Linked DNA regions of Lonchura striata. The protein of the gene in region 2 interacts with the protein of the main gene of each other region in a pairwise test. Links are inferred from orthologs where the notes say so. Each region holds a gene or a part of one and is shown on either strand. Other genes may lie near its edges. The genes, in order: SLC61A1, CREB3L1 and FAM3C.

What was found.
Region 1: the proteins of CREB3L1 (region 2) and SLC61A1 interact in binary tests that used the Homo sapiens proteins (3 or more experiments, as listed by UniProt). The two-hybrid records come from large-scale screens. The link is inferred for Lonchura striata from reciprocal best matches to the Homo sapiens genes CREB3L1 and SLC61A1.
Region 3: the proteins of CREB3L1 (region 2) and FAM3C interact in binary tests that used the Homo sapiens proteins (3 or more experiments, as listed by UniProt). The two-hybrid records come from large-scale screens. The link is inferred for Lonchura striata from reciprocal best matches to the Homo sapiens genes CREB3L1 and FAM3C.

Annotation. Positions count from the first base shown.
Region 1 is NC_134629.1:4,626,807-4,630,550, reverse strand, and holds the start of SLC61A1 (molybdate-anion transporter), read right to left. Parts: upstream 2,388-3,744; 5' UTR 2,363-2,387; intron 1,774-2,362; 5' UTR 1,750-1,773; coding exon 433-1,749; 3' UTR 1-432. UniProt on the Homo sapiens protein: Mediates high-affinity intracellular uptake of the rare oligo-element molybdenum.
Region 2 is NC_134608.1:38,463,168-38,466,911, reverse strand, and holds the start of CREB3L1 (cyclic AMP-responsive element-binding protein 3-like protein 1), read right to left. Parts: upstream 2,628-3,744; 5' UTR 2,564-2,627; coding exon 2,456-2,563; intron 1-2,455.
Region 3 is NC_134607.1:32,701,574-32,705,317, reverse strand, and holds the start of FAM3C (protein FAM3C), read right to left. Parts: upstream 2,400-3,744; 5' UTR 2,269-2,399; intron 1-2,268. UniProt on the Homo sapiens protein: May be involved in retinal laminar formation. Promotes epithelial to mesenchymal transition.

The DNA.
Region 1 (3,744 bases), on a different chromosome or scaffold from region 2:
CCTGCTGTCCCCGTCCCACCCCAGCATCCCCATTCCTATCACACCCCAGTGTCCCCACCAAGCTGTCCTGGTATCCCAGTCACATCCTGATGTCCCCATCAAGCTATCCTGATGTTCCTGTCAGACCCCAGCATCCCCATTACAACCCCATATCCCCATTGAGCTGTCCCAGCGTCCCTATCCCAGCCCAGTGTTCCTGTCACACCTTGCTGACCAAACTGTCCCCATGTTCCCATCACACCTAGGTGTCGCTGCTGAACTGTCCCAGTGTCCCTGTCCCACCCCGGTATCCCCATCGAGCTGTCCCAGTGTCCCTGTCCCATCCCAGTGTTCCTGTCACACCTTAGTGACCCCCTCGAACTGTCCCAGTGTTCCCATCACACCCAGGTGTCGCTGCTGAGCTGTCCCAGTGTCCCTGTCGCGGTGTCCTCCTCACTCCGCAGTGTCCCCCTCGAGCAGCCCCTCGTCCCCCACCCTCAGCCCCTCGTCCCCGCGGCTGGTGCCCAGGACGCCCCCGGCTGCCCCCAGCGCCGCCAGCGCCGCCAGGGCCGCGGCCCCGAACACCCCTCGCGTCCCCGCGGGGTCCCCGGGCAGGGCCGGCAGCGCCAGCGCCACCCCCAGCCCCAGGGGCAGCCGCAGCCACCGCGCCCCTCCCGCCGCGTCCCCCCCGCGCTCCAGCCGGCGCCGCAGGAACGCCATGGCCGGGAAGTACATCCCGCAGGAGAGCTGCAGCAGCAGCACGGCCAGGAAGCCGCCGGGGGGGTGCAGCGGCAGTGCCAGGAGCAGGAGGGCCAGCGCCAGGAGCAGCACGGAGGCGGGCAGGAGCCGCAGCGGCTGCAGCCGGAGCCTCCCGGCGACGCCGCGCCGGAACAGCGCCGAGCCCGCGGCACTGGCGGCCGTGAAGCCCGAGAAGGCGATTCCCAGCGGGATCCCGTGCGGCTCCAGGACGGGTGTCCAAAGGAAGGCAAAGATGAGGAGGATGCTTTCCACGAGAGCCTGCACCAGCCCCAGGAGCAGGGCCCGTGGGTCGGATACGAGGCCTCGAAGGCCTTCCCTGCAGGCCTTCCCACAGGGCCGGCTCTTCCCGTAGTTCTCATCCCAGTTTTTCCCAGCCAAGATCCCCGAGAGAGCCAGGAAGGGCACTGCCACCAGGAATGGGGCCACAGGGCCCAGCGCCAGCCCCTCGGCCACCAGCTCAGCTAGCAGGCCCGCTGCCACGGCCAGCCCGCTGTTCCAGAGGGCCACGCAGGAGAAGGTGTCAGCAATCCACTCGGCTGGGAAGTCGTGGCGCTCCAAGTGCTCGTGGATGTACCAGGACTCAAAGGCAGAGAAGAGCAGGGAGGTGCCGAGCCCCGCCAGCAGCCGGGCGGCTGCCAGTGCCAGGAAATCCTGGGAGAGCTGCAGCAGGCAGGACACGGAGCACAGCCCCGAGGACAGCACGCAGGACTTCTTGCGGCCGAGCCGGTCCACAAAAGACCCGGAGATGAGGCTGAAGGTGACGTTGGAGGCGAAGCCGCAGGAGTAGAGGGCGGCGATCTGGCTGCGCAGGAAGCCGCGGCTGTGCAGCAGCTGGAAGAGCAGCGGGCCCTGCAGCCAGTCCGCAGCCAGTGCCGGCAGGTAGCCCAGCAGGAACTGCCGCTGGAAGCCGCGGAAGGCAGGGTTGGAGGGCGAGGGGCGCCGCGGGGGCGGCTCCAGAGCCAGGCAGGTGAGGAGGAACAGGGCGAGGGCAGAGAAGGGCAGCAGCAACATGGTGGGGAGGGGGCTCAGGAGGGCCTGGGGAAGGGAAAAAGGGGGATCAGCTCTAGGAGGAACTGGGAGAGTCCAGAGGGACCACCCAGGTGCCCCAAATCCCCCAGACAGCCCCTGGGTTCTGTAGGGCCTCCTCACCCCACAGGGACCCCCAGCATCACTGATACACCACACAATCCCCCACAGATCGTCCACAGGCCACACCACCCCTCCCAAGCCCACCCATACCCCACCCAGCCCCCACAGAGCCCACGTAGACCGCAAACCCCCACCAGAGTTCCCCACAGACTCCCATACCCCTCAAAAGGCCCCCTCCACACGATCCAGATCCTCCACGGGCCCCACACAGGATCTCCACAGACTCCTCATAAGACCGTTACAGAACCCTCACACCTCCCCACAGGACCCTCTCACCCCAAATGCTCCTCAAGTCCCCGATGTACCCCCTACAGCTCCACACAGCGCCCCCTCCGCTCCCACAGCTCCCTCTCTACCCCACACAGACCCCCCCCGGCCCCGGAGTCGGCCCACAGGACCACTGAAGACACCTCTCAGACGCTCGAAGGCCCCCCACCCGTTCCGGTAACCCCGGTCCCTCAGAGCTCCCCCGTACCCCCGGTGCGGCCGCAGCTGCCCCGCGGCGCATCCGCGGAGCCACTTCCGCTTCCGGCCCCGCGGGCGCCGCCATGTTTGCCGGTGTCACGTGATACGGGGCACTCTCCCCGCCCCCTCCCAAAGGCGCCCACGGGGACCCCCGGAGGCCGCGGGACGGGTGGGGACACCCCCCTCAGGGACCCGGACAGTGCTCGGGGCATTGCGGAGAACACACCCCAGAGAACCGCCTGCAGACACGCCACGGGAGCTCTGCGGGGACCGCCGCCCTCAGAGAGTTCCTGCGCAGCCCCTCGAGCAAAGCCCCCCCGGTGACACCCCGATGACACCCCGATGACACCCCCCGGTGACACCCCCGGTGACCCCCCGGTGACCCCCCGGTGACACCCCCGGTGACACCCCCGGTGACACTTCCCGGTGACCCACCCGCACCCCCTTTCCCAGGCTCCTGCAAGGGGGCTGCCCTGAGCGCCCCTCTCTCACCTCCGCCTCGGGGGTCCCTGCTGCCGCCGGGGGCCGGGCCGGGCCCCTCACCGGACACTCGGGCGGGGCCGGGGGTGGCACTGGGGGCAGGTCAGTGGGGGGTGGCACTGGGGGCAGCAGGGTGGGGGGTGGCACTGGGGGCAGCAGGGTGGGGGGTGGCACTGGGGGCAGGGCAGTGGGGGGTGGCACTGGGGGCAGGGCAGTGCGGGGCACCAGGTGGGGCGGCAGGAGAGGTGACAGGGCGGGGGGCAGCAGGGCGGGGGGCAGCACGGGGGGCAGCGGAGGGGCGGTAAGCAGAAGGGGCAGGGCGGGGAGCAGAAGGCGGGGGCGCAGCACGGGGGGAGGTGACAGCGCGGGGAGGTTCCCCCGCGCCGGCAGGACCGGGGTCGCGGCCAGCCCAGCCCCATGTCCGAGCTGCCCCTCCCGCGACCCACGCCCCCCCCCCCCCCCCCCCCCCCGGGGATTTACCGGGCAAAGCGGCTGAGCGCGGGGAGCACGTGGCAGCACCCGTGGGTGAGGGACACGGGGACATGAGGACACGGAGGGGTACACGGAGACACCAGGGACGTGAGGAGCACGGGGTGTGAGGGGACACGGGGGACATGGGGAGGACCTGGGGATAGGGGGAATTCAGGGGATACAGTGGGTAGGGGGGGACATGGGAGAGCACGTGGGACACGGCAGGGCACGGGGCGCAAGGGAGACATGGAAGAAATTGGGGACGGGGAACATGAGTTTGGGGGGGATGCAGGGACACGGACATGGGGGGACGCAGGGGACACGGGGGATGCTTGGGACATGGAGGACGTGGGGATGTGTGGGGACATGAGGAACATAACTGAGGGGACACAGGGGACATAGGGGTGCACAGGGGACATGGGGAACACGGCTGGGGACATG
Region 2 (3,744 bases):
TGAAGAGGCATCTACAGATGTGCCTTAATTAATTCTTTGTCACAGCTTGAGATGAACAATACAGAGAACCATTTTTTAAAGACCAAGATGACTCATTAGGATTGCCAAGGTTTTGGAAAGGACAGTAGTAGACACATGCAATTCTTGTCCCAAAGGAGCACAGACTCTGCAACAAGGTTCATCCATCTTTTCTTTCTACTTCCTTTCTGAAAAGAGGAAATCATATTCATGAAAATTTCATACTGACATTTTATGGCTGAAATTCCTGCCCTGTTTTAAGAAAAATGCCTGTTGAACAATATCTGGAAAAGTTTGCCCATCTTTGAAGCAAAGACACTGGCAACTTTGAAAGCAATTGTGCATGGTGATGTTTTGCACAGTTCTATGTCAAAAGAACTTCTCCGCACATTGCAAGATCCCAGGAGATTTGCTGGATTTAGTAAGAAAATCCAAGTGTATTTCTTCCATCCTTCCCATTGTCATGCAGAGTGAGAACAAAGAGGGTGATGTATTATGTTCTGGCTCTTGTATCACCAACAGATTTTGCAGGCGAGAAGTGGCTACAGAATCTCTTATATGTATCTTCTGCAGGACGAGAAGGTTTCAGCTTGATACTCTTAACTCCAGCAGAAGTTGTGGCGCTGGCAGTTGGGGAAAAAATCCATAGGGGAAAAAAAAAAGCCTTAAAAAAAAGCGCCTTTCTGCTGTCATCTGAGCACAACGATGTCTGAGTCACTGCAACATAGTTAAATGAGAAGACAACGGCAAGCTGCTTCCAGAGGCAGCTCTCCAAGCAGAAAAGCCATTTAAATGAGGCAGGACAGAGCCAGCCTGCCCACGGCCACCACACACTTTAAACACACTGTCCTGGCAGGTGGCACCAGATGGCACTCTTACACAAAAGCTTTTTTCACAGGATCTGCTTGCAGGCAGAAGTTATGTTTAACTATAAAAAGGTACCCCCTATGTTGGTTAGGGGTTCCCTGACTTCTGACCACAGCCCATGTTGCACCTGGTAAAAGGGCTGGTGCCAATACAATACTATTTTCATTTTGGTAAAGGAATAAATGGTCTTTACATAAAGCACTTCCTATCAGCATACCTTCATCCACGCTGGATGTGTATGGAATTAGGGAAAGCACAAAACTCCTAACAACACGTCTCTCAGATATGAGCGGGTGAGGCACGTGCTCAGTCTTGGGGTGATGTGCCATTGGAAGGTGTGCCTGAACACTGCGGACTCTGTTGTCTCTGGTAGAGCCCAGTGGAATCAGTCCTCGAGGCACAGTGCTATCTCGGAAATTAGGAGCTGGCAAGATCTCTGAGGGATAGGGCTGCCTCCATAATCTCTTTCCCAGACCCCGTGTGCTCTGCTTGCTGCAGTGCACTTAATATCTATGTAAATTCTGCATCTCTACCGTCTCCCTCACAAAGGAGGCAACACAAAAGACTTCAAATATCTTTTGTGTAGCAAAGCAGAAGTGGATTCATCAGAGGATTCACCGTCTCCCTGTTCCCTGCTCCCACTGCAAGGGTAGTCCTCAGGGATGCTCACAGTGCTACACCGGGAACACGGGAGGTGCCAGCACCGTGAAAGGAGAGTAACAAGCCATTGCTCGGATCTCTGTCCGGGGCAGGCACACTGTCCCACGGCTGCAGCTGCTCAGAGGCTGGCGGAGCCTCGCATTCAGGCAGTGCTCTGCTGCCCAGCGCTGGATACCCTCGCTCCAAACCACCTCCGGGGTGGGGCCCTTCCCACTTTTGCCTCAGGGCTGGGTTCTGCTCGGCAGAGGGGCGGCAGGATCCCATGGAAACTCCCATGGAGAGCTCGGGCACTATAGCAAAGAGTCTGTGCGCGTTCACAGGGAGAGTTGCTGGACTGAGAACTCGCCTGACTCCTGGGAGAAACTGGGCAGTTTCCCTAGAGGTGAACAATGCCCCTTTGGTTCCCTGAGACTGGCAACACATTTTCCTCCCTAGTCACTCTTCCTCCTCACCCTTCTCTCCAAAGTAAATCAGCCCAGCCAAAGCGCCAAGCGGTAGATGCTTCATCTCCCAAATGCCACTCTGAGGAAAAGTTACAGGCAAAGGAGAGAGGAGGGGCTGAGCCCAAAGCTCTCCCGGCGGCAACCGGCCGTGCCACCGGTGCTGCCCGAGCTCACACACGGCAGGTCGTACATTCCCCGCCTGGCACCGCACACTTCTCCCCAGCCATCAGGCTCGTAAAACCATAGTGTACAACAGCCCTGAGATTCCCCGGCGGGGTCTCCTCGGGGTAACAGCGGCTGGGCCAGTCCAGCGGGGGGCTGGCCGTGTGCGACGGCAGGCACCCGGCTACCTGCATCTCCGGGGCACCCCGGGGCAGGGCGGGGACCGAGGAGAGCCCGCCGCCGCGTCCCGTCCCCGCTGCCGGGGCCGGCCCGCCGGAGCGGGGGTGCTGCCGGCGGTCCCTTACCACATTGCTGAGAAAGTCCGCCTCGCTGAAGTCGCCGAAGTCGAGGAAGCCGGTGCCGGCGGCGGGGAAGAGCCGCTCGGCGGGGAAGGGCTCCAGGATACTGTCCATGGTGCCCGCGGCGCCGGGGCTCGGCCGCCCCCCGCGCTCGGCCGGCCGGGCTCACTGCGGCCGCACGCTCCCGCCCGCCCCCCGGTGGCGGCGGCCCATGGGCGGCGGGGCGGCAGCGACCGCCGGGCGGGCACGGAGCGGAGCGCCGCGCCGGTGCCGCTCAGGCCGGCTGTCAGTGCCCCGCTGCCGAGGGGCCGGCGGGCGGCCGCGGCACGCCCCCGCCGCTCTCCGGGAGCCGCCGGGGCGGGACTTCCCGCGCAGACACCCCTCGAGGCAGGGCCCCCGCCTCCCGGGCAGCCCCCGCACCGCCGGGCGGGGTGAGGCCGGTGCCTGCCCGGGGCCCCCGTGCTCCTGCCGGCGCTGCGCAGGGACCCGAGGGCGCTGCTGGTCCCCGGCAGAGCCGTGGCAGTTTGACGAACCGAACAAACCCTCCTTTCAGCAGCCGGCCGGCCGGCTTTGGTGGCCCTTCTGCATCCCTCGGGGAGCAGCGCCGGGAAAGACGGGCGTTCCGCGGGATCGGAGCCCGAAGGGCAGCCGGCAGGGAGGTCTCCTTGCCCCCGCTCCCCGCAGAGGGCTTGCAGGTAGGCCTGGCTGCAGCCGCACGTGCGGCTGCTCTGTAATTAAAGAGCTGGGCACTATTAAAGAGCTTCAGGAAGATTATATGGTTTCAGATAAATAGGATTATGGATCCCTGTCCTCTCTGATCATTACTCCAACCAACACTCAAGAAAACCACTTATAATAAGCCCGTTTAAGAAGCCCTGATGTTTTATTTATTTGTCCCTATTTCCATGGCTCCACAGAGAACAGACTGGAGTCCCAGCTCCAAGGAGGGGTTTTCTTGGTCACAGGCATCTGGAGAAAAAAACCCAAAGATAGCAGTGCATTTCTCCTGGGGGAAACCTAGCCAGAAGTTGCCAGTGGTGAGGGTCCTGTCAAAGAAGTGCTGATTTGAAACTGGCTGGAGCCTGTGATTGAACTGGACATGGGGTTTTCCTCCATTCAGGCTCTTGCTCCACATTCTCCATGGCTGTCAGAACTAACAGCACAACCCAAGGTGCTCCTTGGCTACTGGTTGCACAAGCAGCCACATCCTGCACACAAAAGCCTTTATACTTACACACACAATGAGCTCTTTCAGTTACATTTACTTTTACCTTATGTTTCAGTCAAGTGTAAAG
Region 3 (3,744 bases), on a different chromosome or scaffold from region 2:
AAACATGGAGGTTTACAATAATTATGCCTCAAGCCCTACACAGCCTCAGCAAATTTTAGTGAAAAACTCAGAACTGAACATACATATGACATATAATGACTCATGGACATACTGATTACCAAACTCGAAAGACCTGCAGCCATTACACTCACATGTCAATTCCCCAAGTTCACTGGAAATACAAGTTTAAAAACCAGAACATAAGTTCTATTTGAATAGCAAATTCTCTTTGATCAATTTAAATATTTAAGAACAAGTTCTCTGTGTCTGCTGTGGATTCATTTTATGGACACCTAATCTTCATGCTGCAATATAATCTGCAAGTAGACAGGTATTTTTGTACAGTATCAATCCATCTTATGATTTTATTGAAAAAACTAAAGATCTGTTTCCTGTATGTCAGTATTTCCCCCAAAATCCTGAGAAATAACGTTCAGGAATTCACTTTTTAAATATTAATTTTCCAAAGTTCCACTAAAATTTTAAACTCTGTGTACATCATGCCTCCCTTCTATAAGCACTAATAGCTCTCATTAAATGTGGTTGGCCACTTAAAGAGTTGTACTCAGTGGCCCAGTGTCCAAGGGACTAGAGCAGCGTGCCTCTTGGGATGGTGATTAAACACTGATAGAGGTTTGTCAGAGAGGCAGCAGGTAATCCATCTCTGGAAACACTCAAGGCCAGGCTCGGATGGGGATTAAAGCAACCTAGTCTAGTGGAAAGTGCCCTGCCGATAGCAGGGGGCTGGAAATAGATAGTCTTTAAGGCTCCTTCTAACCCAAACCAGGTTATGTAGAGCACATATGCCCTGAAGCACTCGGGCTGCACTTAGAGAGGCTGGACAGGAACTCTGGGTTCGGTGCAGCACCGATTATTATCTATCATCTATCTACTCCGTGCTCCTACTGGGTGAAGTGGTCAGGACTTTTGCAAAGCCATGGAAGCAAGGCCTGAAACCAACAGGTGCTTCCTCCATCCCGCAGTGATCCGATGTTATTACATGATAATAGCAAGCTATTAGCTTGTGAAGAGCCTACCTGCAGGCTTAAAGCAAGTCACAAAACTTGTTTTGCCACACAAACAACTTTGCATAAAAGAAACCCTGAGGGAAAATATGTGCTAATGAAGATACTCATACCTTAAGAAGCTTCGAAAGTTAAAAAAAAAAAAAAAAAAAATAAAACAACACGACAGTCATTAGGTAGCCATTTCTGGTGTGAGTCTGTGGTTTTGATACTTTTTCTAAATAACTCCCCAATTAGTATTAAATAAATACTTCGTTAAAAGAGAGGTGAAGTCAGCTGCGTTCACCAGCAAAGAACCACTACGGGCTCCAAGTCGGTGCGGCACAATAAGCCCCGCACAACATTAAAATACCTCGTACATGCAAAGATCTTCACCCAAGTCTGGAGTTACTACGTTGTGATTTAACCTCTTTCAAATGTGAGAAAATAGGAAAATAAACAAATCGGGTGAGTCACATAGCTCCTAAGCGGCTCAGCCAAACACGTGGCTTAACATATGGTAGCATTTACTAAAGAGGAAAAAAATTATATTATTTCTATATGCTTTCCTACTTCAGCAACTCAGAGGCCAGCAACCAAAGGTATACAGACTGCTTCGACAAGTACCTCTCTGCAAGCAGCACATTTAACTTCCTTAGGAGCTCACGGCTGCCCTCTGTAACGATGCATTTTAGTTAAACAAGAGCCGAGCCCTCCAACTCATGGACCAACGGCGCCCGCGGCCCCGCACTCCACAGAGAGAGGCAAGGGAACACCACCACCGAGCAGCAGCACCGCCTGGTTTCCAGGAAGGGGCTGCCACGCTGCCAGCGTTTCTCTCATTTCCCTGGACCGGGCCGTCCTGCGGACGCGACCGCCGCACCCGCTGCCCCCCCTTCCTCCTCCCGCTCGCCCCCTGCCCCACCGCCGCCTCCCGCCGGCCCCGACCCCCGCGCCGGGCTGGGACGGTGGAAGGGCGGAGGACGGGGCTGAGCCCCCGCCCAGCGCCCCGCCCGGCTCGGACCCGCGGCCCCGGCCCACCTCACCCTTCCCGGGGCAGCAGGGGATGGGGGAAGGGCCAGGGATGGGGAAAGGGGCACCGCCGGGGAAAGCCGGCAGCGGAGGCAGGGGCCGGCAGCCTGCGGCTGTCCCGCGCAGAGCGGAGCGATGCGCGCCCGGGCGGCGGAACCAGCGGCGGGATGCCCGGCGGGAGACGGGCAGGGGCCGCTCCCCGCGCAGCCCCGCGGAGAAGGCGAGCACATACCGGGGCTGTGGGGCGCGGACACGTCGCGCAGCGTCCCCTCGGCGGCCGTGCCGCGAAGGCTGCCCCGGCCCGAGCAGGAACCGAGCGGAGCCGCCGGCGCCGCGCAGCCGGAGGAAGGCGCGGAGGGCGCACCCGCCCCCTGCCGGTGGCGGACCGAGCCCGCGCCGCCCCGCCCCGCGCCCCGCCCGCCGCGGGCCGCGGGCGCTGCGCGCTGCCCTGCGCCGGGAGCCGCGGGGGAGCGCCGAACGCAGCGTGCCAGGCGTGCCCCACGGCCAGCCTGGTGCCCATCCCGGGAGCGACTTGGACACCGAGATGTTTCTGCTTGTTTTCTTTTATATTTTACACACATTTTCTTTTTTTTTTTTTCTTCATTTTACCCAAACACACCAGAAGTTATCTTCTGTTGCAGAACAGAAATGGCATTTTCTGGTTTAAAATAAAGTCCAATCTTTTTCTTTCAATAGCATTGTGATCAGCAGGATTGAGGCAATCTGTGTTATTGCATAAGAAGAAAAGATAATCCCTGTCTCTTCTTTATCCTATTTTTTTTTTTTTTTTTTTTTTTTGGCACTGATTTTCCTCTAACCCTGTCATGAGCTGGAGTAGGTAGGGAGTTAGGGGTAGCTGGAGTGGGTAGAGACGCAAGCAGGAAGAGCAGCATGAGCAGCATTTTATTTTGTGGAAGATTTCCACTGGCCTAACTCAGCTGGACTCAGCTGGACTATTGCTGGGGTGGGTATGGAAAGTGCTGGGGAAGCAGAGCTCCAGACCCTGTAAATTCCCCTATTGTTAAAACAGCAAGAGAGCAGTTTTACAAAATCAGCATGGCGCTTCTCTCAGAAGAGAACAAAACCACAGCCAAAATGTAGGACATATCGCACATCATCAGTGTCAGGTACACAAAAGAAAGTTTCCATGTCTTATTTTAACAACTTCTGGACAATAGATATTTCTTTTATTGGTTTTAAAATAGCATGCTTTGAGACTGATTGGTCATTGGTATGAGATGGTTATTTGAACATCAGTCAAGTGATTTCTTTAGTAAGTTTTTGCAGCACAATGAAGTTTCAGGCATTCTGTTATCTCTAAGCAAAGGAGTACCCAGTGGGAGCATTACACAAAAAAAGAAGGTATTTATAGCTTTTAGTTCTAAAAGATTATATAGATATATAATACTTTGACAGTTAGGGCTTAATGTATTAATTTTAACCATGTTCTCCTGATTACTAATTAGGTGGCACTGTCTACAGTAACAGATTTGTAAAGTCTGTATGCTAACAGAGGCTAACTGCTTTGATAAGCAAATGTTTGCAATTGAAACAAATATTTTAAAAAGATTACATAAGTAGCACTATCAAATTATTTAAAGAAGAAATAATATTATCTGTACAATAACCAATACCTCAGAATACATCTGTATCAAAGTCAAAGAAATAAGTTAGACTTCAGAATGGCTGCAGTTGAATCCCACTGATT